4 linked regions of the Coturnix japonica genome follow. The protein of the gene in region 4 interacts with the protein of the main gene of each other region in a pairwise test. Links are inferred from orthologs where the notes say so. Each region holds a gene or a part of one and is shown on either strand. Other genes may lie near its edges. The genes, in order: UTP25, RAB3IP, RAB39B and RUFY1.

Region 1 (8,046 bases), on a different chromosome or scaffold from region 4:
TGGATTCTCCCTGCGCTGCTGCACAAACATCTGAGGAAGAAGCAGCAGGCTGGCTGCTGGGAAATGAGCACAGCTACCCTTTGCCCTGCTAAATACTCCAGCAGCTGCTACTCATAATCACAAAGTCGCAATGGAGCAACAGTCTCCCAGCCAGAGGAGCACCCAGCCAACCAGCCCATGTACACCAGGATCAGGGGTAAAACCAGACATTATTCAAACTTTCTAACTGAAACAATAATTGCCAAAGCATAGCAAAAGAAACTACCTTCTTCCTGCTCTGGTACATTATCCTGCTCTTCTTCATCTCCAACAGCTTCTTTGGGCTCCTGGGACCCTTCACTGTCCAGCTCTGCCTCACTCTCCTCAGCTTCTTCTGATTCACTTTCATCTTCCTCCTCCTCACTCTCAGACTCAGGAGATGCCTTCAGGGTAGCCAGAAGCTTGTGATAGACAGAGACTTGTTCCACCTCAGTCTCTGAATCGCTTTCCGCACTTGATTTATCAGAATTGTCAGACTAAATGTGAAAACAATTAACAGCAGCAGTCCATTAGACAGCAAGCAAACACCCTCAGCTCCAGCTCCCATACTACATTTCCTTCTTGTCATTCCAGCCCTTTGCAGATGCAATGAGATTTTCCCCTAATGTCCATTCTATGTGAAGAGTTATCTTGAACATTTCCACACAGATTCTGAAAGGACCATGGCAGACCCATGTCCTGGTGTTTTTTCTGCACTGATTTGACTCAGAGCATCACAAGATTAGTTTCTTTCAGCCTTGGAGAACACATTTGTTCTCGTGGACAAACAGGCCTAAGAACAATGTGCCAGGTTACAGCCAACATCACAGCAAAAACAGGACTACAATCACAGCACCATTCCTTCTTAGCTCCTTTCAGCACAAAGCGAAAACTCAGTAAATGCAATATAAATGCAAAAAATAAAAATAAAAAAGTGCTTAACAGATAAGAGTCATTCATTACTTTTTCCACACTACAACTGTGAAGTCTTTAACTGGTCTGATGACAAAGGAGGTTCACAAGTCCTAACTGAAAGAAAACTGAAGCACTGTAATTTGAAGAACAGAAACGAGCATCAACATTTCTTCATTCAGCAGAGAACAAAGCATCTCATTCTCTAACTCAAGCACCACTGTGTATTAATAAAATAACTTACAGCATGTTTCACTTTTTGCCAGGGCTAAGTAGCATTAAAAGACAAACAAGAATAGCAATATTGTATCCCGTTTCTTCTGTTGTCTCTTGTTGTTGCAGTTACGAGTTTGACACTATACAGAACAATTTGGAATCACAAAAAAAATCATTCATTTTTTCCTTCTAAAAGCAGGTTTTCTAAAAGGAACAACAAGAAAGGCACAGCATTCCACTTCGCTGAACCATACAACAAGTAAAGTGAGGAAGAAATAAAAATATATTACCAGTTCACATATTTGAGTTGCTTCTGGTCTTCCAGAAACCCTGAGAAAAAAAAAAAACACAAAAATATCTTGCTGTCAATGATATTTTGCACAGAATAAACACAGATAAGAAAAGGAAGAAATTGTTGAGCCTCAGAGCAGTTGAAAGAGAACTGAGAGGCAGAGCATCACACAGCTCTCCTTAAGGAAAGAGTCAGGGCTCACCCTGACAAAATCCTCTGAGCTGATGCTGCAGCCTGTGTGTGAAGCCCGGGTGCATGCGATCACAGAATCACAGAATGACCCGGGTTGGAAGGGACCTCAGGGTGACTTGCAGAATCAAACTCTATAATCCAGAGATGGGTTATAAAGCAGGTATGTTTATTCCAGTGTTGCACAGCGCTGGGTGCAAGGGGGATAGCTCCTCCAAACTTGCACAGCGACTTGTAAAATAGTGACACAGATATAGGTACATTTAATACATAGTCAATGATTTCTCAGAATTCTAATACATAGTCAATAGTTCTCGGAATTCTGATACATATTCAATAGTTCTTTAGCATGCAGACCCCCTCTTGTTCTTATCAGGGGGAATGCAACTCCTCTTCTGGGCATCCATGAGGTCTCACTGCTTCTCTGCATCCTCTCTGCTCTCCTAGGCCCCTTGTTTCTTTTACTTGTTACCTTTAAGTTTCCTTTACTTATTTCTATGAACTACCTTTAAGTTTCCTTTACTTGTTTCTATAAACTACCTTTAACTATCCCCCTTTTAGCCCCCCTTTATTCCGAATTTTAGCGGAGCATCTGCTTCCTGCTTCACTGTTCAAAGGATCATGTAGTTCCAACCCCCCTGCCTGGCAGGGCCACCAAACATACACCTTTACTAGATCAGGTTGCCCAGGGCCCCGTCCAACCTGGCCTTGAACACCTCCAAGGACGGGGCATCCACAACCTCCCTGGGCAGCCTGTTCCAGGACCTAACCACTCTCCTAGCGAAGAACTTCCCCGTAACATCCAACCTAAATCTTCCCTCTTTTAACTTAAAACCATTTCCCCGGTCATGAAGGGCAACATTTTAAACTCCCTCCTCAATTCCTGGGGGCTGCTCTCTGGAGCACGGGCTCCTACCCGGGGCACTAAGCACTGACACACCGAGAGGGGTCAACAGACACACGTGCTGCGGGCAAAGCTCATCAATCCAGCAGCGCTCACCGGTCGCACACGGGGTGCTGCTCCCCGAACTGCCGCAGGTGCTTCCTCTGCCTCTTGCTCAGGCCCCGCACCAGCTCCCTGCCGCCACGCCGCTTCCCCATGCCGGCAGCGAGGCGCTTTACGGTACGGCCGTCAAGGGCGGCTGTCGTACTGTCGTACTGCCGTGTGGCGGCGTGCTGAGTGCGGCTGCTTGTGTGGGTTAACGTTTTCCTCAGCTCCTACCTAAGCCTGATCCTATTAAGGGCTGATAACTAAAACTCAGCCAACTGAAAAGCCACACTGACCGGCCGTTTAGTCAGAAACCGAAGGCCCAGAATAGAACAGCAAAGACAATAAAAGACAGCCCTTTAACCTTACTGAGCATCCAACTAGGAGGTGTAAGACTTAGCGCCCAGCACAAGCGCATTGTGATACTATATACAGCCGGGATTTGGCAGGTGGCTTATGTAAAACTAAGACATGTCAATTGGAAGGAATTTGAAGAAAATATCATACAGAATTGAAAGAAGCTGCTCCTCTGGGGCATCATTTAACCAGGTCAGCACATACTTTCTTCCTTACTGTTATATAACTGATATGATTTTAAGAAATGCTATTATTACTAAAAGGAGGAGCAGCTGGAAACTGTGGATAGCAAATAGTTTCAAGGGATAACCAGGCAGTATATCTCCTTCTAAGGGATTTGATTAAATACTTTTTTTTTTTGTTTTCTGGGGCATATTGCAGAACACGCTCAGGCAGCTTCCCCTCTGTCATGAATGGTATCAGTTCTACTGTCTTGAAACACCCACTAAAACAGCTTTGGGCCTCTCTACAACTAGAAAACACAGCTGATCTTCAAGCACAAACTTGGCTTCTCATCTTTCAGCTATTTCCCATTAAAACTGTGTACTTCTGTCTGATAATAACACTAAGCTTCTTTTCTTTAGTGAATGTGAGCTTAAGTACTGCCAGCAAGTATGGTCCAGGCTCTTTAGCTGTCTGGTCATAGGCATTATTTATGTGAATTACTTTAACAGTAGTTAAATTACAGTCAAAATAGGTTTCCACAGCTCTGTGCTACTGCCAGCCTAGTAAAGCCAAAGTGCTTAATGCAGTCTGAAGCCACTGACTGTTCTGCATCTAGCAGTGTCTCTTTTGATTCACAGCAAAGTAACCCTCAAGTTAGCTGAACACCCTTTTGCTATCTGTACTGTTTTTCTCCCTCTAAGCATAACCAGTGTTCAGCTAGACTAGCTTTACTGAATAACCAACCCACCACTTTAGAAAGAGTGGTGCCATGAAATAAAGTATTTAGTACACTGTTTGTCCTATGTACAATGATGCTCTCTAGTATCCATTTACTTTGCAATGTGGTCTTACAGCTACTTAATAAAATTAGACTTAAACCTGTAAAAAGCTGATACTTGTACTGGAATCAATGTGTTGTTCTTTTAGCAAACAGTTAATACTGGAAGTGACGCTATTGGAACTGTAAGAGCATAGAAGAGTCTCATCATGCCTCAGTGTTCCTTAAGATTGCATTCTCTGACTTGTTGCGTGTTAATATGCAAGCTGAATATGCAACTGGGATTTACTTATTTCAAAGCAGCGCTATCAAAAGAACATCTAACAGTTTGGCATCCCTTACCTTAAATATTACACTAACGCCAGCAGGATTTTCTAAGTATTTCAGAATTCAGACGCCACTCATTATCAAATGGAGATCTAGGTTATTTAGGAATATGCTTTATCTTTCTAATAACATTACAGATGATCACGATTTTTGATCAGAGTGTGCAGTCAAGCTTCTTCACTTCATACATGTTCCATCAGTCTACAAGTTCTGGAGCTACGATCAAGAATAACTCAGTAAAACAAGAATATACATGATTATTTTATAAAACAGGACATTTATTTATCAGTTTATCAGACTGTCTTAGTAATTGAGGTTGATAGGAGCAACTAGTTCCAGTACCAACACCCAAATACCTGGTGAATTCATGATTTCACTTCTGTTTCTTCTGCTTGAGGTAGTGTATCCCAAACTGGCTCCTGGATGTGTTCAGGTATTTTCTCTATCTTAGTCTAGTACAGAAGGAAGGAAACGATTTATTATATCAACTAGTCAACATCTAACTGCTTTGCTTTATTTTGGTTTCAGATATTTATTGGATTAATAGTGCCACCTAGTGACGTTTTTCAGTAATACATCCTCCTTTTAATAGTAACACAAAATGGTCTTTACAACTACATGTGTATACTGACTTTCTAACAAATTCAGTAATTATTAGTACTTGCATCTGGATTTAATCTCACAGCAGTTAAGAACATGAGATGGGAACTTACCTTTTTTACTTCCATGGCAACCCCTTCAGGTAAGTTTCGTTCAACATACTCTAAGTACACTGCAGCGGTACTGCCCGTGAGGTGTTTTAACTAAAACAGAAGTCATGTGTTTTATTAATGAAGGATAATACTTCAAACAGAATATAGAAAAGGAGGAGTTTGCTCTGACTTCTCTAGTTTTTGCAGTGGGTCCAAGCATCTTACACTAGGCCAGCTCCCATAGAATTCACCACAGGCAGGTAAGCAGTATGTATCTTATGCAAGTACAAAGCAGCAACTTCATGCAGAACTGTATATACTGTGTGTTCATACGTATTGATTATGATAGAAATGATGGACCTTAATACTGCAAGTATCAGATCAAACTGTGTGTTATGCAAGAACTCTCAGATTTGCTATACCCCTCAACATTCAAACTGGATAGCAATCCCCCAACTCCAGAATTTTACCACGTTCTTGATTCTAGTTTCTCTTGGAAAGCAGAAGTTGTATTTATGGTCTGTGGGCAGCCATCGGCACTGCTCTACTGTCTGAGCACTGAGGGCAGAGACACATTTCACTAAGCACAACTATACCATAATAGACCCTAGAGGCCACAAAATGCCAGCAGTAAACTTCTTCTAAGAAAATCAACCACAGCTGCATTCTAGACCATATATATGTCTGCGTCACCAGCCACAGAGCGAGTGGTTTGTACACACTTCCTTTCTGGTATTTCTCCCCTTCCAGTTTTAGTTTGTCACATGATGCTGCACAGGGCAAAAGCATTCAAAATATGAAGCAAACTCATGGAGAAGAGAATGCTCAGTGACTAGCAATGACTGTAACTTACCTGCAGCATCTTCCCTTCCTTGAGAAAGTTCTTATCCCACAGATTAGAAATTGAGAGCATAAAATATATAAAGGTAACTCTGATACCTACCTTATTTTTAAATCATTCTTCCATATACTTGTCAAAATCAGCCTTATAGGCAGAAATTAGATGGACTGTACATTCAGAACAATTTCTGCTACATTTGATGTACCTACATCAGCTCTCTCTTACTATATTCCCAGCACTACCTAAATCAATATTTCTTCCTTTTACATCTTTCTTACCTCCAAACAGGTGTAATGTGTTCTCATTTCATACTGAACTCTGTGCTTCTTGTAAATGTGTACAGATTTTAACAGTGTAAGTCGTTCTATCGTCTTTGGAGGTCTGTGTCTGAACAAAGTAGAAAGAGAAAATGTTGTAATATTGAATTTTACATAAATGATGTTAATATAAATTATCTGAGATTACAGTGAAATCTGCTCTTATCTGACATTTAGAAGATCCACAAGGCAGTATGAAGTACTGGTACAGTTTAGCATTAACACTACAGCAGCACCGATGACTGTAACAAGAATATTCCTGGTGTCTTTCACGCAGTTACAATGCAATCCTACTATGGCAGCACTGCAAGTAGCACTGCTTCTGCTTTCTCATCCCCACACCACCATCTGGGAAGTGTCAGATTTATATTTTGAGAAAGAATGTCAGATTAAACTCATTTCTTCTACAAAAGGAAAATACTTGTAAGCGCGGAACTAGAGTTACAGCAGATGATGTAAGAAGCATCACATCGTGCTACAGATTGGTTACTTACACTTTTTCAACAGTTATGCCAAGTTCTTTAGCTGCCAGCACTGCAAAATACTCATAGCTGTCCAACACAGCTTTATCGTGGCCTTTAACTAAAAGGGACAGCCTCCGGTAGAGTATTTCTGGTTCATCTGAAATAGACACCTGTATTTTTTAAGAAAAGGCAAGTGTTACCACCCCATGTTCTCCTTTATTAACCCAGTCACTACGTATCTTCTTAGCCCATGTGCCCCATTTGTAAAAGAGGAAAAAAAATACACATGCACATCTCTCACTGCTCATTTGATATTTACCTGCAAGAGGATAACTGTATTAATCTCAATCAACAGTCCTTCATCTTACTGTCCCTGCTAAGTGTAAAGGGAAACCTGACTTCTGAATATTCAGGCAAAATTTCTCAATCAAGAATGCAAAGGGAACGCCAACTAAAAGGGCAACACTTGCAAAGGCAAGAAAAATAACTTCTTTTTAAAGCAAGTCTGGAGCAGCAATATGAGCATTTTAAATAGAAGTGTGAAAATACATGAAATTCTCAAGTTTTTCTTGGTTATCATTATGGTCAGGTACAAGAATTCTCACCTTCCTAAAGTAAAGCTATGTAAACACACCAGTCTTCTCCACACATATTATCCTTCCTATTTGCCCAGGTTAGAAGTCTATGAATCTCAAGTTACAATTTTATGACTGTTAGTTTGACCATTCATTTCTAATGGCCTGGGCCCACTGTTCATCTGAAAAACCCTGGTTTACTCCCGTGCAGTTCAGAGCAGTAACTCCAGCACACAGCAGACATATCAAAAAGGTTGAGTTTGTGTGGTGGTTGAACCTGGCAGGCAGCTCAGCACCACAAGTTGTTCACTCACTGCCCCCTCCCAGTGGGGAGGGAACTGAGGGGGAAAAAAAACAAACCAACAAAGTAGAACTTGTGGGTTGAGACAAAAACTATTTACTGCAACAGAAAAGAAAGAGGACAAAAACAATAGTAATGTAATACATAAATAAATAATATAAAGAAATATGTATCTGTGTATTCCTCTCTCACTCTATACGCATACACAAAGCAAGGGATGCACAGCACATCTGCTCACTACACACTGATCGATGCCCAGCCAGTCCCCAAGCAGCACCAGCCCCTCAGTCAATTCCTCCCACTTCCAAAGCATTTAGAAGCAGATGCCCTATGACACGGAATATCCCTTTGGATAGTTCAGGTCAGCTGCTCCTGCTCCTTCCCTGTACCCCTCAGTCCTCTCGCTGGCAGAGCAGTAGGAGAAGCTGAGATGCTGAAGCATCCATGGCTCTGTACAGTGCTGCTCAGCAGTAACTAAAACATAGATGTGTTATCAACATGGTTATTCTCCCAAAGCCAAAACAGAGACACAACAAAGGAGGAAAGAGACAAAGAGGTGACTGTGAGCTACAAGAATCCTGCTGAAAATACAGTCTCAAACAGCACTAATCTAA
Region 2 (7,505 bases), on a different chromosome or scaffold from region 4:
TCGTGGTTGTATTTATTTTAAAGCCAAACCTAGGTGGGTTTTAAGGTATAGGAAATGTTCATTCAGGGAGCAAGTTACACCTATTGAGTTTCATTTGTGCAGTGAGGTTGGTGGCTTAGCAACCAGAACAGTTATGGACTAGTTTAATTAAGATGGTTGTTCCTGATTGTACCTGAGTGCAAGACAAGTAGCTCTAATGGAAAACAAATTTGCCTGTCTAATTTTTGTGGGTTCTTTTTCAAGGAGGGAGGGGGAGGGGAAAAAAGCCATAAAAAATCTTCCTGAAATGTAAAAGAATGGTTAAGTGCTGGAAACTCAGAGAAGGGGTGGTAAAGAATAAAAGACCCAAAGAGGCTGGTTCAAAGCAGTGTATTGCTCTTTTAAAATGGATTAAAAAACAGTTTCAGCTCCTAGCGTATGTGTTCATTTTTTCATGCTCCTGTCTGTATTAGTTGCTTCTGATATTCCAAGACTTTCAAGTCACATTGGCTTTATGGAGATACATATTATGAAAGCAGTATTTATATGTCTAGTGTTTTCTTGAAAATGTTTTCTTCCAAAATACCGCTTTTCATTCTTGTTTGCTCTTTTTGCATTCACTTTGCTTCTCTTTGTACTCTGGAGTGGAGCAGCAACCTAAGAAGCCCGCAGAGGGAGCAGCATTAGGATCTGCTTCTCATTTTTCCACTTTAGTAACCTTTTTGTTTGTCTTCTGTGCTTTGGCTGCGCATTTAGTGTTTTTTTTTCTTTATTCTCCATGACTGCCTGCCATTTCTAGAGGCACTTTTTCTACATGACATTTTCTTCCTTTTGTTGCGTGGTCTTTGATGCCTCTAACCTTCCTGGCCTGTGTTTGGCCTGCAGTGTCTTTCCCTTCATTGTATTCCCTTTTGGTTTTAGGAATACAAACCTATTACAATACAAGAATAGGATTTAACAGCCAGTTGGAGTGAAAAGGTGCTGAAGTCTGTGTCAACAATCTCAAAGCCAGTTTGGCTAAATCAAGGTGGTACCACGCATCTTGGGAAAGTGAGTTGAAGGTGTTTGTTGCTGGGATATAATAGTATTCTTCTACAGCGTGGTAGAAAACTGAGTTTTAATGATCACTGTTTACCTGTGGATACCTGTAGATGGCCAGTTGCTAGTGTGATAATTACAGTATTTAAAATCTGCGACTCTGTGTGTTTTAGGCTGACCTGTCTTTGTACAATGAATTCAGATCATGGAAGGATGAGCCTACTATGGACAGAACATGCCCATTCTTGGACAAAATCTATCGGGAAGATATTTTTCCATGTTTAACCTTCTCAAAAAGTGAGGTATGTACTCTTAAGTGTTGTCACTGATGCTTTTTATTTAAATATGTTACATGGAACCAGTAGACTATCTTAATTTACGTATGAAGTTCAAACATTTTTGTTTCACCGGAGTATGAAAGTTTACAGTGAAATACCCAAGTTTGGTCTGGAGTATTGAAGTGATCAGTTTTTCTTTTCCATTTCCTATTTTAGATGTGGCTTTCTTAGGTGGAGGCTGTCTACCTCTTTCTGTGTTAATACTGCCTATCAGAGTAAGTGTTTGTAGGAAGGAGTGATGAGTTTTCCCCTAAGTCAGAGGTCCCATATAGTAGAAACCGTGTCTTGTCACTGGCCCTTGTTTATTCAGGAAGCAATACAAACCAACATACCTATTTTTATGGACCTGTTTTCTCTGATTAATCAGAACAGGTGTCTTCTTGAAGAGAGGTTTGTGTTGCAAGAATTAGACTTTAGGATTTGAAGTAATTTATCATGGACAGTTTGGAGATGTAATTTAAGATAAAACAAACAATGCGGCTTTTTTCTTTGTGTTATTTTTCCATTTCTTCTTCCTTCCTGGTACAGAGGAAGTAATGGCGTTGTACTCATGCTGGAAATACTATGGAACTGATTCCAGCTGCAGTTCAGTATCTGGTCTTTGTTCTTAAGCAGCGTTTGTTGGCTATAGTTGCAGTATCCGTCTCCAGGGGAAGAGGAGACAGCATTGCATATCTTGATTAAGACTAACAAATTTTAAAGCTCTCAGACTTGATTTCCCTCCCGTCCCCAATTAAATTAAGTAAGTCACATAGGAAAAGTGGTATATTTTCCTCAAATTTGTCTCTTATTTTCACACGGTGTGTGCACTTTTCCCATGTTCTTCACTTGCTGTTACCTGCTGGCGATAAGTATGAGAGATCTTGTAGTTAATTGTATGGTAGTTCATTGTGATTGGTGTAGAGCATTGTATGAAACTCTCCTACTAAGGTGTTTGCTCACTTACTATGGGAATTTAAATTACTTCTGCACTGTGTGTAAGTAGGCCATCCTGTTGTCTTTCCCAGCAGCTTGGTTTTGTTTTCTTCCACTTCGGTGGCAATACAGTTACTGTATTTGTATTTCCTCTTAAGGAGAGAGTAAGGCTTCTAGCACAGGTCAGCTGTACAAGTCAGTGTGTGCAAATGCTGTACACAGTGAGGTGCTTTCCTTTGAATATCAATGAGCTGCTATGTAGTTAATAAGTGACATGTATTATGTTTTTGAATAATTGAAAATGCAGTTATCTAAATGGTTGAAGTAATACTTCAACTCTTTGTAGCCACTTGTGTATGTGTGTAGCTTTCTGCTTTGCTTTTAGCACATAATATTGGGAAGAATATTTTGTGTGAAGCACTTTTGTAGTAACATTTTAATTATGAAATGTTCAAAGTACAATAGAAATATTTTTCTATTACTCAGTAGCAAAGGAACGTGGACAAAGAATTATTAAATAAAATAAATAGCACCTTATTTTAAATCAAGTAATGACTACTACTTGTCCATACTTAAACACTAATCTTGGACAACTGTTGAGTTCAGTCAAGCAAAATGAGCATATTTCTAGTGTGTTTATAAAGAAATAACATAAAAAAGCCTGAGGGAAGTTACACTTCCTTTATGAAGGTGATATTTTAACAAAACTAGTGTTCTGAAGTTACCATAACCTGTTGTCTCTTTTATATGTTGATCAATCTTACATGTTTGAATGTCTTTCTAAAGTAATTTTTGCCTGAGAAATAGGTGAATATTTACTTTGTTTTACAAGTTACAGAAGTTGCCTGCTGTTTTTTGTTTTGTTTTGTTTTTTTCTCCCCTTTTCCTGCAGAATACAATAAAACAAGAGCAATTTTTTAAATACACAAAGTTTGAGCCATGTTCAGTATCTGGTAAAATCACTGTGTAAATGTGTGTCCTGCTCAGATGTATGAGGAATAACTGAATATGTACTTAGCATGCTAACCATACATTCCCTGCTGTAGAGGCAGTCAGCTTGCCTGAGGGCTGGGTAGGGTTATTTGGAGGGCAGAATTTAAACTGAAGCCTAGGAATTCTTGTGTATGAAGCAAGCAAAATCTTATTTGTGATTGAATTTGTGTTTTGTTAGTTGACTTCTTCAGTGTTCCTAACTTAAGAGAGACAGAAATGTGTCACTGCATTGTGGCTGTGGATCACATGGAGCTGTTTTTAACTGCTTTCTACATTTCTCTTGCAGTTGGCCTCAGCTGTTCTGGAAGCTGTTGAAAACAACACTCTGAGCATTGAACCTGTCGGCTTGCAACCTGTTCGATTTGTGAAAGCTTCGGCAGTTGAATGTGGGGGACCAAAGTATGTTAAGCTAACAGACAGAGGGGAAATCTGGACTCATTTGAGATAACTGTATTCTCAATACCAGAGTTATTAACTGATCACCTCATTGAAATTTGTGCATGTTATACTTGTAAACATTTATTAAAATATCAGACTTCAGGACTGCTGCAAAATTTTTATGGGGGAAGTAAGCAACTAATAATGCAAATGTAAAAGGTTTGTTTTATATTAACCTTTTTAAAGATAATTCCCTTTTATTTGTAAAAGAAGCATTCTCTTCCTTGGAGAGGATCAGTCTGATTCTTAAGGCAGATTTCTGAACTAGGGGCTGTCACTTGTTCAAGAAAAAGGTATAGAAGTAGTGTGGGATCAACATCAGAGAGCTAGAGTTATTTGTGGGATAAGAAACCTAAGAAGTACAGAGCATACAGAGCATACTCACAAAGGCAGCTGAAGTATTTGAGAGGAGGTATGTAAAGTAAACCCTCTGAATGTGAGCAGAAGGAATGTAGTGAAGAGGGAGTAAAGGTGAGGGTGAGTTTGAACATAAGGAAATGTGGTTGAATGGCAAGATGATTGCTTTAGAAAGTTTGGGATGGTCCTAGAGGAATCTGAAGCAAGTCTTATATGTTAGATACTGATGTAGTTGTTAAGGTAAAGTGAGAGAGACTTGCCTGAGGCTCTGGGGCTCTGAATGTGAAGAGGAAGGGATTTGTAGTGTGCTTTAGAGTATGTCACGGTTAAGCAAGTAAGGCCAGTAATCACAGTCCTGAGGTAACCACAGTCACCTACAGAATCACAAGGTTGGAAAGGACCTATAAGATCATCTATAGGAAGTCTTGACTTCTTGCCTAAAAGATGTTTAGCAGAGTTAATATTTCTCTGTAATATTTTTTTTGTTGTTGTTAGAGCTCAGTTTTCTGGTAGAGAACTTGAATCAGAATGTGAATATCAGGATCAACATAAGTTTTTTTTTTTCCTCATTGCTGCTGTTTTTCAATTCTCATTTTTCCTCATCAGTTTTGAGTGGCAGAGAACATACACTTAACGTGTCAAAAGGAGTTTTTGCTTTCTCTCTAAAGAGGCTGTATTGCATTCTCCAATGTAATCCTTCAGTAGTTGGCTGGGTAGGAATTAACTTCTTGAGATGTCTCTGCAGAAAATGTAATTTAGTTACATTAGGTATGTTGAATGTCAAGATTTACTCTTTCCTCTCTTCTACAACTGTCACGAGGTGACAAAAACTTCTGTATGATTGCTTGTGGTTAAGTAATAGGTAAGGAATATGCAGTATGTAAACTTAATTTGACAGCAAATGTACTTTGCCTTAAATATTACTGGCACTGGATGGGAAGCAGCTGTTTCACTTTTCACTTAATCAGAGTAGCAGCTTTGCATTTTCTGTTTTTATGTGGTGAAAATCACTGTTTTTATTGAAACCATGTCCTTTAATAGGTAACGTAATACAGACAAGCAGCATAAATAAATAATAACAGTAACTGGAATAATACCCCTAAAGGAATAATGTTATTGCCCAGTTGCCTGGGGGACGGGAAGAACGGATGCATAAACTAGTGGGTAATAACCCTACAACAAAACAAGGAGTGGAGGTCAGGGAGCTGTGATATAGTAAAGAAAGGTTCCTGACATACAAAAGTTACTGAATGGTGCCAGTGGTGGTGTGTAGTAATGAAATACAGCTGAGTTTCCCCACAGGATTCAAGTAATTGTCCCCATGGGGAACAAAGCACTAAGCTGCATGTGTGCTGTACAGTGCAGAACTGAGTCATTAGTAATAGCTGTCATTCCAGCATTTAACCTGGTGTGATGGCAACACACTGTATAGAAGGTAAATCTATTGCTGGAAGAAGAAAGAGGGCTTTTTTTCTTGGCACTAAAAATCTATTTGCTCACAAAGGCTTGACTGCATTTGTGATCAGCCTGCTTCAGCTACTATAGAATTTCTTGGATCAATGTCAGTCCTTATAAATTACTGTGGAAAATCATATACACTCTTCAGTTTTCTCCTGTCTTGCACGGTTCTGTGGACCAGCTGCAGACTATTAAAGGGGCTTGTAGGCCGCTATTGAGACTGTGTGAGCTTAGTAATTTTTCTTTCACTTTTGAAAGGTGGCTGCTTCTTAAGACTCCCTAATTTTGTGAGATAGAGATGGGAGGAAATCTAGAAGCTTTTGAAGTCAGTGGAACAGAAGATACCTGACAAGCCAGTTCATCTGGGATGCTGTGATATAGAAATTCCAAATCAAATTCCTGCTGTGTTGACATTTATTAAGACAGTATTAATAGCGGCTTCCTCTTCAAGAGAGATGTAAAACTTTTTTTCTAAATAATACTGGAAGAGTTATTTGGAATTGAAGAATTTCTGACTACTGACCTTCCTTCGTTCATGTATTATCATACGTGAACAGTATTATTTGCAGTACACCAGGAAAAAGTAAACGTAATTATTTTGCCATCACTTTCTGTAATGGTAATGGAAGGAGTTATTACAGGCAACCTGTTTTCCTTCACCTCAAGTTCTTTTATACTCTGAATGAAAAAATGTGATTTCACTTTGGGCATAAATACAAAGCTGATCTTAGAATGCATCTGACAGAGGCTTTGTGCATTGACTGTTATTCTTTGGGGCTTGTGTTTTTTTTCTTGGTATGCATTTTAAATGTTGGGATCTGCTGATCATTCAAACAACGCTTATTCCACATATAGAGTTAAAGAATTCCTGCTGTTCCAGACTTGTCAGACTTGAAGCCATGAATGTGAAAGCGTCTGACCAATGCTGATAAAAGATATAAAAATGGGAATATAGTATGATGTGCTAATGTTGGAACAAAATTTGTCCTGGTCAAGCTGGAGTAGTTGATGACATCATTTTGTAAGCTTCAGTTATTAAGGCAGAGTTGAGTACCTATGCAGATAGGAAGTAATTACATTAACACCTGTGTATGTTTAGAGTGTGAGATATTAATGTCAGATTTGTTTATTAAATTATGCAAACTTGTTTTATAGGAAATGTGCTCTGAGCGGACAAAGCAAGTCATGCAAGCATAGAATCAAATTAGGAGATTCAAGCAGTTACTACTACATTTCTCCATTTTGTCGATACAGGGTAAGCAAATTTACTACAATTTCATTTTATGTAGTGTTTTTTTTTTTTCTACCATCATTCAAAATGGTATTAACCACCATTATTTTATGTGGGTTTTAGATAACTTCTGTGTGCAACTTCTTTACGTATATCCGATACATCCAGCAAGGACTGCTGAAGCAGCAAGATGGTGAGTAAGAAATTGCATTTGGGGTATATGAATCATAGAATGCTTGGGTTGGAAGGGACCTCAGGGATCATGAAGCTCCAACCCCACTGTCACATGCATGGCCACCAACCTCCAGATCTGGTACTAGACCAGGCTGCCCAGGGCTCCATCCAACCTGGCCTTGAACACCTCTGGGAATGGGGCATCCCCAGCCTCTCTGGGCAGCCTGTGCCAGCACCTCACCACTCCCTCTGTAAGGAACTTACCCCTGATATCCAACCTAAGTCTTCCCTCCCTCAACTTAAAACCATATCCCTTTGTCTTGCCAGTAACTACCCTTGTAAAGAGTTCACTCCCCTCTTATTTCTAGGCCTCCTTTAGGTACTGGAAGGCTGTAGTGAGGTCACCCCATGCCCTTCCCTTCTCCAGGCCAGCTCCCTCAGCCTGTCTTTGTGAGGGATGTGAAGAAAATACATGTATAGTGAATGTGCCTAAAATTTGCAGATGATAGTCATTGTGGGACTGTGGGATTTTGGTGAATTTTCAGTAAAGTAATAAAGAAATGGTGCTTTTCTGTCCATCTTAA
Region 3 (6,206 bases), on a different chromosome or scaffold from region 4:
TTGCCTGAACCTGCATGTAGACGTAGTGACGGGCGACCTTCAGCACAAGGGCAGCGGTGCTCAGCAGCAGCAGCGTGAGGGGCAGGAGGGTCTTTGGCACCATGGTGCTGGCAGCTCCTGGGCTGCCCCTGAAGGATGTTCAGGGTAAAAGGCAACGTGCTGCTATCAGGGGGCTAAGCTGGAGTTGTGGGTGCAGGCAAGAAGCACAGCGGGGCATGTGCTCTTTGCAGAGCCCTTCACACTTATTTATCACAGTGCAGGGAGTTTCTTAGGAAGGAACTCCGCTATTTCATTGAGTTCTCCATTTTGAGCATTTACAGCTGCTTTGCACTAGTTCCCAGCTGTCTCACGAGGAGGAAAGCGCTGCCATTGCCTGGAAGACACCACGGTGGTATCTGCTGCTCTGCATCTGTGCTGCAGTTTTGCTCTTCCTGACTGTTGTTGTGAGTTCTCTCACTCTCTGGCAATGAGAAGCTATTCCTGTGCAGTCAGGGCTTCATCTGCAGTTAAGCACGTGCCTCTGTTTTGTCACCAGCCCCCAAATGATGCTCTTTGGGTCAGCATTGAGGCTGTTTTGGAGTTGTAGAACAGCAGGGTTCTGTTCTTCCCGGATCCAGCAGGTTGTGCCCATCGCAGGTTGCTCAAATACTCCAGTTTCTTGCCTGAAACATGCCGTAATGTTAACAAAAGCAAAAGTGTGTGCAGCCCTCCCTGTCTGGGAACATGTGCCAGCACCTACAGAAGAGCTGAGCAGGGTCTCAAAGGGAATTGGGCAGTGAGGTGCAGAGGGAGGCGGCGTATCTTGCTTTCTGCACATCAGTAAAGAGATGTTGTGTGGAAGAGGCTTTAAGGAAAGGCACCCAGACCTTCACCCAGTTTTGCCTCAGCGCAGAGCTCTGTTCAGATCCTGTCACATCTCTCAGAAGTACCTGAGGCGCTGCTGGTGCTGGCAGGAGCAGCCGGGGTTGTTGTGCTGGTGCACGGGAGAAGCAGAAGTGCCTGTGACAGCATGGGGAGCAATTCAGAGTGCTGCCATGTCTGCAGCTGGAGAGCAAACAGTAGAGCTGATTCTCTTGTTCCCAAATGTGCAGAGCTGTTCTTGTCCCGGGGCCAGTAACCAGAGAGGGAAAGTTAGCCGAGCCAGCTCTGCTTTTTTTCTTTCCTTCCTTCCTTTTCTTTCTTTTTCTTTAGCTGGATTTTCACCCATCACTGCGTGACTTTTGATAAAGCAAACCTTGAAAACGCCAGAGAGTCCTTTCTGGGGGTAGCACAATAACCTCTAACAACAGATGTTCATAGTGGAGGAAGAGTCGTCCCAAGCTAGAAGTAGCAGTGCTTTTCCCAGCAAGAAAAAGTGCAGGTCCCTGTGTAAGTTCCTTCAGGGACTGAAATCAACGAGTGCTTCTGGATGTAGAACTATTCCATGACTCTGCACAAACAGCACAGTTTTACAGCTTCTTGTTTATTTCCACGTGTAGTAGCTCTGCTCAGTTTTGTGTTCTCTGCAGAGCTTTGTTGGCTGACTTCATGTGCTGCTCAGGCTGCCTCAGTCTGTGGGGAACGCTTTCCATTTCTCAGCCTGAGGGTCTGCGGGACCTTCTGGGGGCTTTTTAGGGGCACAGCTCCATCTTCTGCCTTCTGACCTGTGCCCTCCCTCTTTGCCTTTTATGTATCTGCCAGGAGGTGTTTGGCTTTAGGTAAATCCTTTGAGCTGTTACAGTGCTTCTAAACCAGTGGGGCAGTCAAACCACATGGAGTACTGAGTTGGTGTGGTGGGGCCTCGTTAGGCCAATGGCAAAGAGAATATGGAAATCTGTGATAGAGAAGCCAGAATTGGTGGCGGAGTAATAACAGATCCACAATGCAGCGACCCGGGGATGGAGTTTTACGCCAGGATTAGTTGTGTTTGTGAATGACAAGATGTGCAGAGCACAAGTCAAAACTGCGAGATGTGACTGAGCAGCATTCTCTGTCCTATGTACAGGATAGGCAGGGTGGCAGGAATGCTGCCTTCTATAGCAAAGTGCTACATTGGGATTAAGGAAAAAGAATCAAAAAAGCAAGCAGGAAAAAAAGCAAAAAGTGAAAGTTGCTGTGCCCTTCCTCCCAAATAGCAGGGACTTCCACGTTTGCTTTGGATGGTTTTTTTTCCAGGTCCATCACCAGAGCCTACTACAGGAACTCGGTCGGTGGACTCCTCCTGTTTGACATTACAAACCGCAGGTCCTTCCAGAACGTCCACGAGTGGTTAGAAGAGACCAAGGTGCACGTCCAGCCCTACCAGATCGTCTTTGTTTTGGTGGGTCACAAGTGTGACCTTGACACGCAGCGGCAAGTCACCAGGCACGAGGCTGAGAAACTGGCTGCTGCTTATGGTATGAAGTACATTGAGACCTCCGCTCGGGATGCCATTAACGTGGAGAAGGCCTTCACTGATCTGACTCGAGATATATACGAGCTTGTTAAAAGGGGGGAAATTTCGATCCAGGAGGGATGGGAAGGGGTAAAGAGTGGGTTTGTCCCAAATGTAGTGCACTCTTCAGAAGAAGTGGTGAAATCAGATAGGAGGTGCTTGTGCTGAGCTCGTCTAGAGAGAGAAGTGGTGATGAACTCTACTAACCAAACGTACTTTACTAAGTGAACTCAGTGTGCCAGAAGGGAGAGCAACGCTCCCGTTGTGAACGGCCTCCCACAGTTTTTTGGACACGAGAACAGACCCAGGGAATAAATGTTCTGTTCCATACAACTTTTCAGAACTGGGGGCTGCAAACCTAACAGAGTGAGTGAGGGTGCATGTAGATTTTGTAACGAGACCGCAAGCAGAAGCGAGGGACAGCAGAAGGGGGCGGAGCACACAATGAGATCTGAATGGGCTTGGATGTGCCACAGTGCTGTACGTGTCCTGTTCTAAGCCAATCTATAGTGCCGTGCTGTGTGCTAAAGCCACAGTATGGATAGTGCTGTAGTACAACAAGCAGCAGAGAGAAAGAAAAAGGACATCCGAGTTTGCATCAACTGCTTAATACCAGGAAGGTGTAAAGGCAGCATGGGTACCATTTCCTCCTAAGGCCAGTGGCATAGGAAAAGTTTCCTGATGTGGTATGCATACTTCTGAATTGTTTTTCTTACATTCTTGAACCTAGTTCAATAGTAGAGTATTCTGTGGCATTTTAAGAGGATAATAGTACTCATTTGATTGGTCATTACAATTTAAATGATCTCCCCAGGTGTTTTTCATGCTGTCAGCTGGGATTCTGAGTGGCATCGCCTGCTGCATTAGTCATTATTCAATGCATTTTTTCAATATTTGCTGCCTCACCGTGTACCTCAGTGTACCCCAGGTCAGGGATTCCCAGTGTAATTAAGTGAATGGGAGCATAAACAGGAAACCTCGTACTCACCCGCTGTATCTGGAGGCTGGAGCTTGGCACCCAGGTGGGACACACCAACACCTGTCTGCTAACAGCACTGTGCTGACGTATTGGGTGCTCTGTTAGCTGGGGCCACAAGGAGGAATGGAACAGAATTGGGCAGGGCAGGGGAAACTTGAAAAGCTTAATTCAGGTGCATCCACAAGGTGAGATTTGCTTTTAAAGAAGCTGAATAGCATGGAAAGCAATGGCTTCCATCACTACTTTCTGCTGTTAAAGTGTCATTTTCTTTCTTGGCATCTGTGGAAGAAGAGAACTAGAACTGAGGAGGAGGAGCACAGAACAGAAGTGTGTGAGCAGGAGGAAAAGGAATAAGCCCCAAGACAAGCTCAAGAGTAAAACTGGTTTTCCTCCTTGTTTTAATTTGACAAGAGATGATCCGTATCAGGTTGGTCATTGCGGGTGGAAGCTGTTGTTAAAAAGGCTGTACGTGGGTGGCCATTTTCTGGGCATGCTTTGTTTCCTCTAAGTTTTAACCAGCTTTACAATTGCAGCAGGGTAACCTGTAGCAAAGTTCAACCTATTTAAAACAAACAGAAACAACAGTGACCATTTAACTCCAGTTTGTGAGCCCTACACACCGAGTTGATGGGCAGGAGGGAGTAGGTAAAACCACAGGAAGCACCTGGTGTTTGATTTTTAGGCCTCTATGTAGAACAAAAGATACTCGTTACAGCTTTTTTAAGCTACCTCCATATGGGATAGTGTGAGTCTTCAGTGGTGTTGAATTCAGACCGACTCCCCTGAGCCTCTTCTCATAGTTTGCAGCACTTGTGCTGGTCTGTATGAATTTAAAATGATTCCTGTATATAAAAAGAACCCACCCTGAAGATGGATTACAATTTCATTTGAGCACTTTTGGAACAGTTTCAGTTCCCCAGCACTGCAGGGAGCAGCAGTGTTGCAGCTGCTGGGAGGGCACTGGGAGCAAATGAGTGAGGGAGGGGTGGCACCGCTCTAGCACTTCTCATTGAGCTGCTCACTGCTGCAGAACTCGGCCCATCTAGAACAGGCTCTACCTGCACCGAGAGCGCTGTGCTGAGGCCCATCAGACTCCAGGCACACTCGGTGGTGGTCGAGCTGAGTAACATGAAGGTACAAAAAAGAAATCTCTTAAAAAATCTCTTTCTAGGTAAGTGAAGCTGGAGAAGATTGATGCAGAGCACCACAGGAGCTGGGCTACCATGGGCTCTCTACCTTCAGCTTCTGCTGACGCCGGTGGGGTGCACAAGGTTTGCTCAGACCGGGACTGCTAGTCCTGTTCTCACAAAGACGAGGGCAAACAGGTATGAAAGGGTCAGTTTTCTTCTTCTTTCTTTCTATTGAGGTCTGGCTATTCACAGGGTGTGGTTAGGTTGCCTTGCTGACCAGTGGCTGTCCTAAGGGCAGAGCCTGAGAGCTTCATTAAAGGCAGTTAGGACTGTAGAAAAGATCAGAGTTTTAGCAAGAGTAAAACCTGTGAGCTTGTGCAGGAAAAGCTCAGTTCTCACAAGACAGCTGCTATTTTATTGAATGGCTTTGGACATTCCGCTTCTCTCTCTCTGAGTCTTTCAGCTCCCAGAGAGGAATTCCAGGAAGCCCCAATAAGCACGTTATGTTCAGGCCTACAGAGCCAGTACTTGATTTATAAATACGTGTCATAATTCTGAAGAGAAACAGTACAGAAGGAAACGTATGCATTCCTAACTACTTAGAGGTAATAAATAAATGGTTATATGAAACGATAGAGAAATGGTTCTCTACATCTTTTTCTAACTCCTTGCATTTTTTTAGGCAGCTTATTAAAATATAGGAAATGTAGATTCGTCTGTACAAAACTGGGAATGTTTTTTCTAAGATGCAGAACTTACAGGATGTGCTGAGCATTCTTTTCTAACAACCGCTTTTAACGCTTTGACTTCTGGTGCAAAGAGGGCTGTAGAGAAATCAAAGGTCAGAACCTTTCACGGGACAAAGGTCAGGAGCTCTTTTACTCCAGGACAAAAAGAAACAAAGAGCTAACTTAAATCAATCTGCATGTTAGATTCTAATTGCTCTGAGCCTCCGGAATAAAAACATACTATACACTTTCCTCGCTTTCTGTTATGCACTGTAATGAACTGTGAAAATAATGCTGTATTTAGCTGTCTGTATGTGACTGGAAATATGCTTGTATTTAGCAAAATGGTTACTATGTGATACTGTGAAATGTAAAACTTGTAAAGAGACTGTTGGGTTTTTTTTCTCCCCCCTCCCTGCTCCTTATCAGTAAGCTGTCTCATACCTGTACCGCTTCTGTACAGCAGCCCTAACTGGAAATCTGGTATGGACCAGCTCTACAATAAACAGGATCTTTGCAATGGTACCTGCTGTACATTCTTCTATAACAGCCAATGGAGCACATCTGCAAAACCAGCAGGTTGGGGTGCTGAGAAAACCAGTGCAGCTGTAGGAATGGCAGCCATTCCAATACCAGCAGCGCCCTCCCTGCAGTAGCCAAAGGAGCCATAGCTCCCACTGGAGCCTCACAGCAGGCGGCATTTGTTCTAGCTCCTGTATGAGACCTTTCTGTTCTTAATCCAAGTAACAAAATGTATCAGTAAAAAACAGGGCAACACTGGATGAAGATCAGTCAGACGGAAGCCAGAGTTGTCTAAGAATTTTTCAACTCTGTGCTAAACAAACAACAACAAAACCCTCTATTCAAAACCAAGAGTTATGTGTTATTCCAAGGGCCAGCAAATACATTTTGATCCCGCTGAGTGCTTGCAGCCCTAATGCTGCCTCCCCCCCTCA
Region 4 (7,423 bases):
ATCTGTGTGTTTTGTATATAGTTCTTCTCACCTCTGAACCCTGTAAGAGTACACATCGAGATCGGACCAGATGGCAGAGTGACTGGAGAGGCGGATGTTGAATTTGCTACTCACGAGGATGCGGTGGCTGCCATGTCCAAAGACAAAGCAAACATGCGTAAGTGTAACTGTTGTGAAGGGGAAAGCACAGCCCTGCTCTGTGCAGCATCTGCTGCAAGTTGGATGCCCAGCATTCTGTTGCAGCGAGGCTGGATTTGATGTGAAGTGCTCTCACTTTTCTTTCAGAACACAGATACGTCGAACTCTTCTTGAACTCAACAGCAGGAGGAACTGGTGGTGCCTATGGCAGTCAGATGATGGGGGCGATGGGTATGTATATAAGAGCTTAATGTTGAATGGAGTTGGCTAATTTTGCTCAGCTTCTGCTTCAGTGACTGGCATAAATCTGAAATGCAGCATTATATCTTAATGCAGTCAAGGAATCCGAAGGGGTGGTTCAGGATTGGAACACTAGCACGTTGGCAGGTAAGTCTTGCATGATGCTCTGTTGCTGTAATGCACCTACACTCTTCTTTATACCTTGCTTTTCTGGTTTCTTAGACCTTAACAAGGCGGGTGGTGTTTTGGGGTTTCTTTGAAGGGAGCTGGGTATCTGTATGGGTGTAGTGCTGTGTCTGTAGTAGGGTAGGGTAGGACTGTTGGTAACAGGCAGACTTGTAGACTGCCCAGTTTGTAATGTTTGTATCCTCTCCTTGAAAGGAAGCCAATCCAGCTATGGTGGCCCAGCTAACCAGCAGCTGAGCGGGGGTTACGGAGGCGGATATGGTGGGCAGAGCAGCATGAGTGGATACGGTAAGTCCATCTGTTAACGGGCTGTGGGACCACAGCCAGCACCAGCATGAGGCCCTGCTCATTAGTGTTTGCGGGCAGCTGTGGGGAGGGGGCTGCACATTCCTCAATGAATTGAGAACAAGGGGGGGATAAATTGAAAGCAGGGATAAATTGAGTGCTGAGGAGAAGCTTGCTAAATCAGTTCCAAAGTGCATGGGGAATGCTTAACTCTGCTGTGGGTACTGGAGATTCGCCTGGTGTAAATGCACCAGATTGAATTGGAGGGGAGGGAGTACATGGGGGGAATGGGTTCTCTGCACAGAAGGGTCACAGAAAATGCTGGGGCCCTTGGAAATTGGGAGGGCAAGTGCTGGCTCATGGAGCAAACCGATGGGATTTTGGAGGTGCTTTAAGCTGCAGTTCTCAGTACTGAGCAGAGATGTTCACAGCCAGGTGCTGTGAGAGCTGATGGCTGCAGCCTTTGTAACGTGCTGTTTGGTTTCCACCCCAGACCCAGGGAGTCAGGGCGCCATGAACAGCAGTTACTACAGCAGCGGGAACCGCGCGTCCATGGGAGTGAACGGCATGGGAGGGATGTCCAACATGTCCAACATGAGCGGTGGCTGGGGAATGTAACCAATGGCTGACTTTTGGTCAAATCTTTTTTAAAAAACAAAAAAACAAAAAACTAAGTTTAACAGTTTTGCAATACGAGCTTGTGATTTATGCTTTACTGTAAGTGAAATCAGGATTGTTATTTTAAACCTTTCAGGTTGGGTATTTTTGAACATACAGAATGAACTTTCCTCTAGGACGTAATAACCCCGTTGAGCAGAGACTATAACTGTTAAACAACTCGGAGCGTTTCTCAAGTTAGTTTTGTTGTAGGAGTGTATTTAAGCAGTAAGCGTATTTAGGTTAAAGCTGTTTGAATTATGTTAAATGTTGCTCTTATACCATATTACATCTGACACTGTTTTGAATACATGTTGGAGAAAACATGCTTTTTTTGTAAAGAAACGATATAGGAGCTGTGTCTGAGATTCCAAGTGAACATTTGGCATGTTAGTTCTAGTTTATTTCTTTTAATACCCTGTAAGGCACGTTAAAGCTTTTTTTTTAAGTTAATGGGGGAAACGTGTTGAGACGCAATACGGCTACGTTAGGATTTGGGTCTTGGTGTTCGTATACAATTCTGAGGCCTTGATTTAATCTTTCATTGTATCGTGATTTCCTTTTTAGGTGTATTGCGCTAAGTGAAACTTGTTAAATAAATCTTCCTTTTAAAAACTGGAACTCATTTCTTCTTGAACTTCTGCCTTGAGATGTGCCAGTGCTGCTTTGTAGTCAGTCCTTGTGCTGCTCTGTGACTTTCAGGCTGGAGGAGTGGAACTGTGTGGCCGTGTGGGTGTTAAGTGACAATTGTTTCTCGGCCAAAAGCAGAGTTAGTGAAGGAAGGTGCTTCCTGTTGTGGGGCTGCAGTGTGACAGCCTGATGTTGGCTGCATAACGTGGTTGTGAAGTTGCAAATGAGGGCTGGGGGATAACGCTGTGTGTAGCTACAGGCATCGATGCTTTGGAGCCAAAGTGCCGGATCAATGGACTTTGCAGCTTAGTGCAGCCGTGTTTCAATAAATCAATTTGTCAAACAAATGCCATGCTTAAAGATGTGGTTTTATGAACAGTTGGAGCCTAGTGACGTGGCAGGGCAGCTGGTTCTGTGCATTTAGACCTTACAACGCTGATGTGGTGTTAAAAAAACCAGAGCGGAGGGATTCTTTCTGCAAAAGGCTTTTATTGTGCAGCTACCACACTGTGCTCACAGCTACCTCCAGAACCAGTGTTCGGGTGTGATTTTTATTCTGAATTATACGGAAGGCACATTCATGGACACGCATAAAGCTCTTTCCATAGACAGTAAGTGAACATTCCTTTTCTTAGCTCAAATACAGAACTGTACGTTAGCCATCGTAACAGGAATGCCTACAGTGAGGATACAGAGGGACTGAAGTTAATGTACAGAGAAGTAACTTCTAGAGGGATGGAGTGACTAGAAATCCCATATACAAATATTAATACAAATATCTTGTGTATAAAAAAATCAGCAAATGGATTTGCGTTTTAGTTTCAAATAGAACTTGAATGGAGCTCAGGTAATACAATTAGAGTTATTCCACTTGCATTGCCCCCACCATTCTTTGATACCGACCCGTCCCAACGATGGAGAACAGAGCAGACCCTGCTGCAAAGGCGCCTGGAGTTCAGAATAGTGATGGCTACTTTTCCAGTGCTGAGTTGGTCCCTCTGAGGTTACCAAAGGCTTAGGAGGAATTGGATGAGCACCGCTGCAGTAATAAGGTGTGACAGGTATCACAGACACGGACAGGTTTGGGATAGGAGGGCAGTGCGAGCTCGTTGCTGGAACAGGAGTTGCAGAAGATGTCCCCACAGTTTCTGCAGTGATGCTACGAGCAGAGAGCTTAAGTAAGAGTATTGTAATTTGTAGTAATTTGTAGAATTTGTAGGACAACTGCCTACAAATGAATGGTACCGAGGAGGTATGGCCAAAGCCTTAAGGGTCCACTAATCTCATCCTCACGTTCCGTAAGCCCACCCCTTACAGCGCCATTCCCTTCTCTGCAGAGAAATCAACTCAAAGCAGCATGGTCCATATGCAGCTCAACTTTCCAGCTGCCACGAGCTGCTCTCAGCCTGAGCTGGCCCAGCCATCGGAGCTGCCCTGCTGCCCATCAGCTGCTCTGGCACCTCTGGCAGGTGGGCCCTGCCCTGTTCCTGCAGGTACACACAACTGTCCTCATCCCCTGCAACTGCAAGGCACTGAGCTCGGCCTGTCAGCTGCCAGTCCTCACACTGAACTCAGCAGGGAATGAGGACAAATCACACTGCAGGAGAACATAACCCACAGCAGCCTCCAGCCAAGGAGAGCCCCCAAGCAGACAAGAAGACATGCTGTTCTTAGGATGGTTAGTTACCTGTTCAGTTACCACACCCACAAGTTCTTAGACTGAGGCAGAGTCAGCAAACAATACAACAGCACAACTTCTCTTTCCCGAGAGAAAAAGAAGAAATGCAGTGAACAATGTTACCTTTCTTCTTGAGATAGAGAACTCCTTTTCGCACTGCTTGCAGTGTGTTGCTTCGTCATCTTTCAGCCAGGTGTGACCCTGAGAAATGGGAGCAAAGGGCTCATGTTAGAGGTAAGTACAGTCATAAGGCTTGGAAGCAATTTATCCACATTGTTTGTAATTCTTTTTCCAAAAGCCATCTTTTTAATGTAGGATAAAATAAGAGTTATCTGTGGGGAGCACTGAAGGTGTTAAGTGAATTGCATGTTTAAGCCCAAATATCCACAAAATAATAGAGTACCTTTAGTGCTTTGTTTACTTCTTTAATGTCTTCCATCTTCAACTTAGATCTGGGGGGGAAAAAAAGAAGAAATCCTCATGTCTATTTATTTTTACAAGTGATGCATTTTAAACTTCTTTGTAATTCATTTGAATCCCCGTGCTCCCAGTCACGCCACCCCCAGCTGAGCTCCCAGAACTCACTGGCTGAGATGAAGCCCCATTTCTTGCAGAGCTTGTTCCTGCTCCTCGCAGACTTTCTCCAGCTGCTGCTTCTCCTCTTGCAGTTTTCTCAGCTCCTGTAAAATCAAACACAGAAATCAAGTTTGGGTGCTAAGTGTGACCTGCAGCACACTATGCAAAACACCAAAACAATTCACAAGCATAAACTTCTTCACAAAGCTGCTTATTTCTAAGGGTTCATTTTTAGCTTTAGATGGGGGAACCACCCATGGATTCCTGCAGAGTGAAAACAATGAAATCATTTAACAATATTTACCAGAAAGAAAGGGAAGATTTTCAGGCTTTAACCACCCTTGAGCACAGCCAGAATGCAGCAGTTCTATGCCCACAAACGCAGTGAAAAGCCCATCCAACTCATTTGTTCTCAGTGCTTGAACATCGTTTCAAGTCAGCTTTAATTCTGAGCACTGGACATGTCTGCACCATGTGTACCTTTTTCAGTCCTTCCATTTGTTCCAGTTCTGCTTTAAGCAGAGTGGCAGCGTCCTTCTCTCGGTGCAGTTCTCTTTGCAAAGTCTGCCTCTGTTCCTTTTCAGCTTTTAATTCCTTTTCCAGAGTTGAGCTATTTAAAAAATAATGGATTCAGAGGAACTCTAGAGCAGAAAATCATCCCATGGTATTTATTGATATCAACAGTATGAGAAGAAAACTTGGCCTAAAGAGGACAAAACCTACATCAGTATTCTGGCAAAGGAAAGAACAGAGGTGTTACAGCAGCAGACAAAACCAGCCCATAGTAGTGTTTAGAGATTACAGAAAACAAGCAGTAAAAATGGTGAATAGCCAGAAGGGCAAAAAGAAGCAACACCACCATCTCCACAAATGTCTGATTAACTATTTGTGTTTCAATGGCCACGTCTGAAATGACACTAAGTGCAAACAGCAAACAAAACATTTTAGGTATTACAAGCCTAAGAGGATAAGAACACCAAATCCCGATTCCTGAGGATGATACACTAAGCCTGCACAGCTGAGCACTGAGAGCACTTCTTAACCAAATAGCAGAAATGAAGGAAAATAGTAATAAAAAAAGGGAGAGCGATGAGATGAAATACCAGTGCAATACCATTTGCCATCCAGCTGGGACATCTGTTGCTGACAGGTGCCAAGTCTGCTGGCGAGCTCCTGCTTCATCTTGTTGCATCTTTCCTCTGCAGCCTGCCTTGCCTTTTCTGCATGCTGCAATCTGCAAAGTAAGGAACACACAGATTTGCTGACAACTCACATTCTCCTCATCTATTCACTGGCATTTTGTTCTGTCCCATTTTTAATGTAGATCTTCACAGAGAGTAGAACTGAAGGTACCAGCAGAGAAAAGAGAACTCCTAGAAAGCTGTTTCTGTAAAACACAGAAGCCACACCTGTGCTTAAAGCAATGTGAACACAGTTTTTAAACAGTCTGCCTACATAAGAGCTGTGATTTTCAGCTGAGTCAACGATGTGCGTGTCTGCTTGGGCACAGGGAACAGACAGGCAGGAAGAGCAGTAATAGGGGGAAAAGGAAGCAGAGCACTGTGCTGGCACGTATGCCCAGGTGTCTGTAGGAGATGTTTGAGAGTGTTATACTGAGAAATACAAAGCCATTCTATAATGATCTCAGCCAGAACCCTTCTGCTGACCAATGGTATTGAGCTTCTAATTATTACCTCTCTTCCATTTGTTTCATAGCAGACATCATCTCGCTCGTTTTTCCTTCAAAAGAAGATATTGTTTCTGTTTTCTGTTGTAAAGAAGACTCTGCGTTCTGCAGGAATAAAGCAGTGGGATATTGCAGACAATACTTGGTAGTTTCCTGAGGTCAGGCAGTCGCTACATAAAGCCTGTTCAGTTTGTGACAAACCGTGCCCAGGTTTAACTGCAGTGTACAAACAAAATGCTGGTAATGGCAGAGCAGACACTCCTCAACTGCTCTGTTAAGAGTTCAGAACAAGGAACTTGTTTACAACAACATTTTAACTTAAGAGATCAGCTACAAGCCAGAAATCTTCTCTTAAGGAGTCCAAAGAAAGTGTCATGGTATATTTCAATGTTACCATTTACGTTACTATTGTGCAAAAGCTGGACTTAAAGGGCATTGTATAGCAGGGAAGAAAAAGAAACTGTCACAAACCACCAACAAAAAGCCTTGGCTTTCTGTCGGTTTAGTGAAAGTTGCTGTTCTTTTGGTAAGCACTGTTAAATGTGGTGCAACTGAGAGGCAGGCTGACACAAAGGGAAGCAGCAACAGGGCAGTTCTGGGCTGCAGGAAGCAACTGTGTTTTTGAGAGCCTGCTCTTCTGGTGGTCAGAACAAAGACCCTCAAAAGCAGCTTCCCTCCCTGCCAGAGCTCTGTGTTTCTCCATAACATTTCTTGGATGATCTGCAGCACATGGCTCAGCTCAAGGAAAGTCCTTAATTCCAAAAACACCCAATCTCGTATTAGTACCAAAACTTGGACAAAAAGGAAACCAAGCAACTTCTAAAATAGATACTCCCAAGAAAATGGATGCAGCTATAACTGCAGATGCACACCACGTACATTACCATCACATCAAGGCCATCGCTGCAGCTGCTCTGCTCTCTGCTATGCACATACCTGGGACTTGTGAAACATCTGCAAATTAATTGCTTTCACTTCTTCTAACTGTTGGCGAAGTGCAACCAACGTATCTTGTTTTTCATGAGTATCTTTTTCCAGAAGTTTCATGGCTATTTCCATTTCTGTTTTCATTCCAATCTGTAGCTCCAGTTCTTTCTCCAGTTCCTTACAAAGAGATTTCCTAATTACTGGGAGGTAATCACACCAGGGAGAAGTATTCCCCAAACCCATGTAAAACCAGACAGAAATTCTGCATTCCTCTCTTAGGTACAGACCTACAGTGTTACAGAAAGGTTAGGTCTCAATACAGTATGTTAGAAGGAGCTAAAGACTATTTCAGCTCTCCAAATCATGGCAGCAGATCTGAGCTCTTGCCCTAAGATGTAGAGCTTGGTGCGCTGCATCTC

What was found.
Region 1: the proteins of RUFY1 (region 4) and UTP25 interact in binary tests that used the Homo sapiens proteins (3 or more experiments, as listed by UniProt). The link is inferred for Coturnix japonica from reciprocal best matches to the Homo sapiens genes RUFY1 and UTP25.
Region 2: the proteins of RUFY1 (region 4) and RAB3IP interact in binary tests that used the Homo sapiens proteins (3 or more experiments, as listed by UniProt). The two-hybrid records come from large-scale screens. The link is inferred for Coturnix japonica from reciprocal best matches to the Homo sapiens genes RUFY1 and RAB3IP.
Region 3: the proteins of RUFY1 (region 4) and RAB39B interact in binary tests that used the Homo sapiens proteins (3 or more experiments, as listed by UniProt). The two-hybrid records come from large-scale screens. The link is inferred for Coturnix japonica from reciprocal best matches to the Homo sapiens genes RUFY1 and RAB39B.

The regions. Positions count from the first base shown.
Region 1 is NC_029518.1:20,191,825-20,199,870, forward strand, and holds the start of UTP25 (digestive organ expansion factor homolog), read right to left. Parts: upstream 4,375-8,046; 5' UTR 2,729-4,374; coding exon 2,628-2,728; intron 1,477-2,627; coding exon 1,437-1,476; intron 516-1,436; coding exon 266-515; intron 1-265. Other genes in the region: MRPS10 (28S ribosomal protein S10, mitochondrial), read right to left, coding at 4,608-4,694, 4,956-5,045, 6,054-6,162, 6,587-6,726. UniProt on the Homo sapiens protein: Component of the ribosomal small subunit processome for the biogenesis of ribosomes, functions in pre-ribosomal RNA (pre-rRNA) processing. Essential for embryonic development in part through the regulation of p53 pathway.
Region 2 is NC_029516.1:32,274,422-32,281,926, forward strand, and holds part of RAB3IP (rab-3A-interacting protein), read left to right. Parts: intron 1-1,190; coding exon 1,191-1,319; intron 1,320-3,549; coding exon 3,550-3,662; intron 3,663-6,671; coding exon 6,672-6,771; intron 6,772-6,870; coding exon 6,871-6,940; intron 6,941-7,505. UniProt on the Homo sapiens protein: Guanine nucleotide exchange factor (GEF) which may activate RAB8A and RAB8B. Promotes the exchange of GDP to GTP, converting inactive GDP-bound Rab proteins into their active GTP-bound form.
Region 3 is NC_029519.1:13,299,862-13,306,067, forward strand, and holds the end of RAB39B (ras-related protein Rab-39B), read left to right. Parts: intron 1-2,154; coding exon 2,155-2,581; 3' UTR 2,582-3,680; coding exon of another isoform or gene 3,681-3,691; 3' UTR 3,692-4,563; coding exon of another isoform or gene 4,564-4,571; 3' UTR 4,572-5,775; downstream 5,776-6,206. UniProt on the Homo sapiens protein: The small GTPases Rab are key regulators of intracellular membrane trafficking, from the formation of transport vesicles to their fusion with membranes.
Region 4 is NC_029528.1:4,495,416-4,502,838, reverse strand, and holds the end of RUFY1 (RUN and FYVE domain-containing protein 1), read right to left. Parts: intron 7,182-7,423; coding exon 7,014-7,181; intron 6,183-7,013; coding exon 6,085-6,182; intron 5,625-6,084; coding exon 5,505-5,624; intron 5,001-5,504; coding exon 4,871-5,000; intron 4,495-4,870; coding exon 4,400-4,494; intron 4,267-4,399; coding exon 4,218-4,266; intron 4,016-4,217; coding exon 3,938-4,015; intron 3,296-3,937; coding exon 3,152-3,295; 3' UTR 2,606-3,151; downstream 1-2,605. Other genes in the region: HNRNPH1 (heterogeneous nuclear ribonucleoprotein H), read left to right, coding at 22-157, 286-369, 457-525, 760-852, 1,343-1,467. UniProt on the Homo sapiens protein: Activating adapter involved in cargo sorting from early/recycling endosomes. Regulates retrieval of proteins from endosomes to the trans-Golgi network through interaction with the dynein-dynactin complex.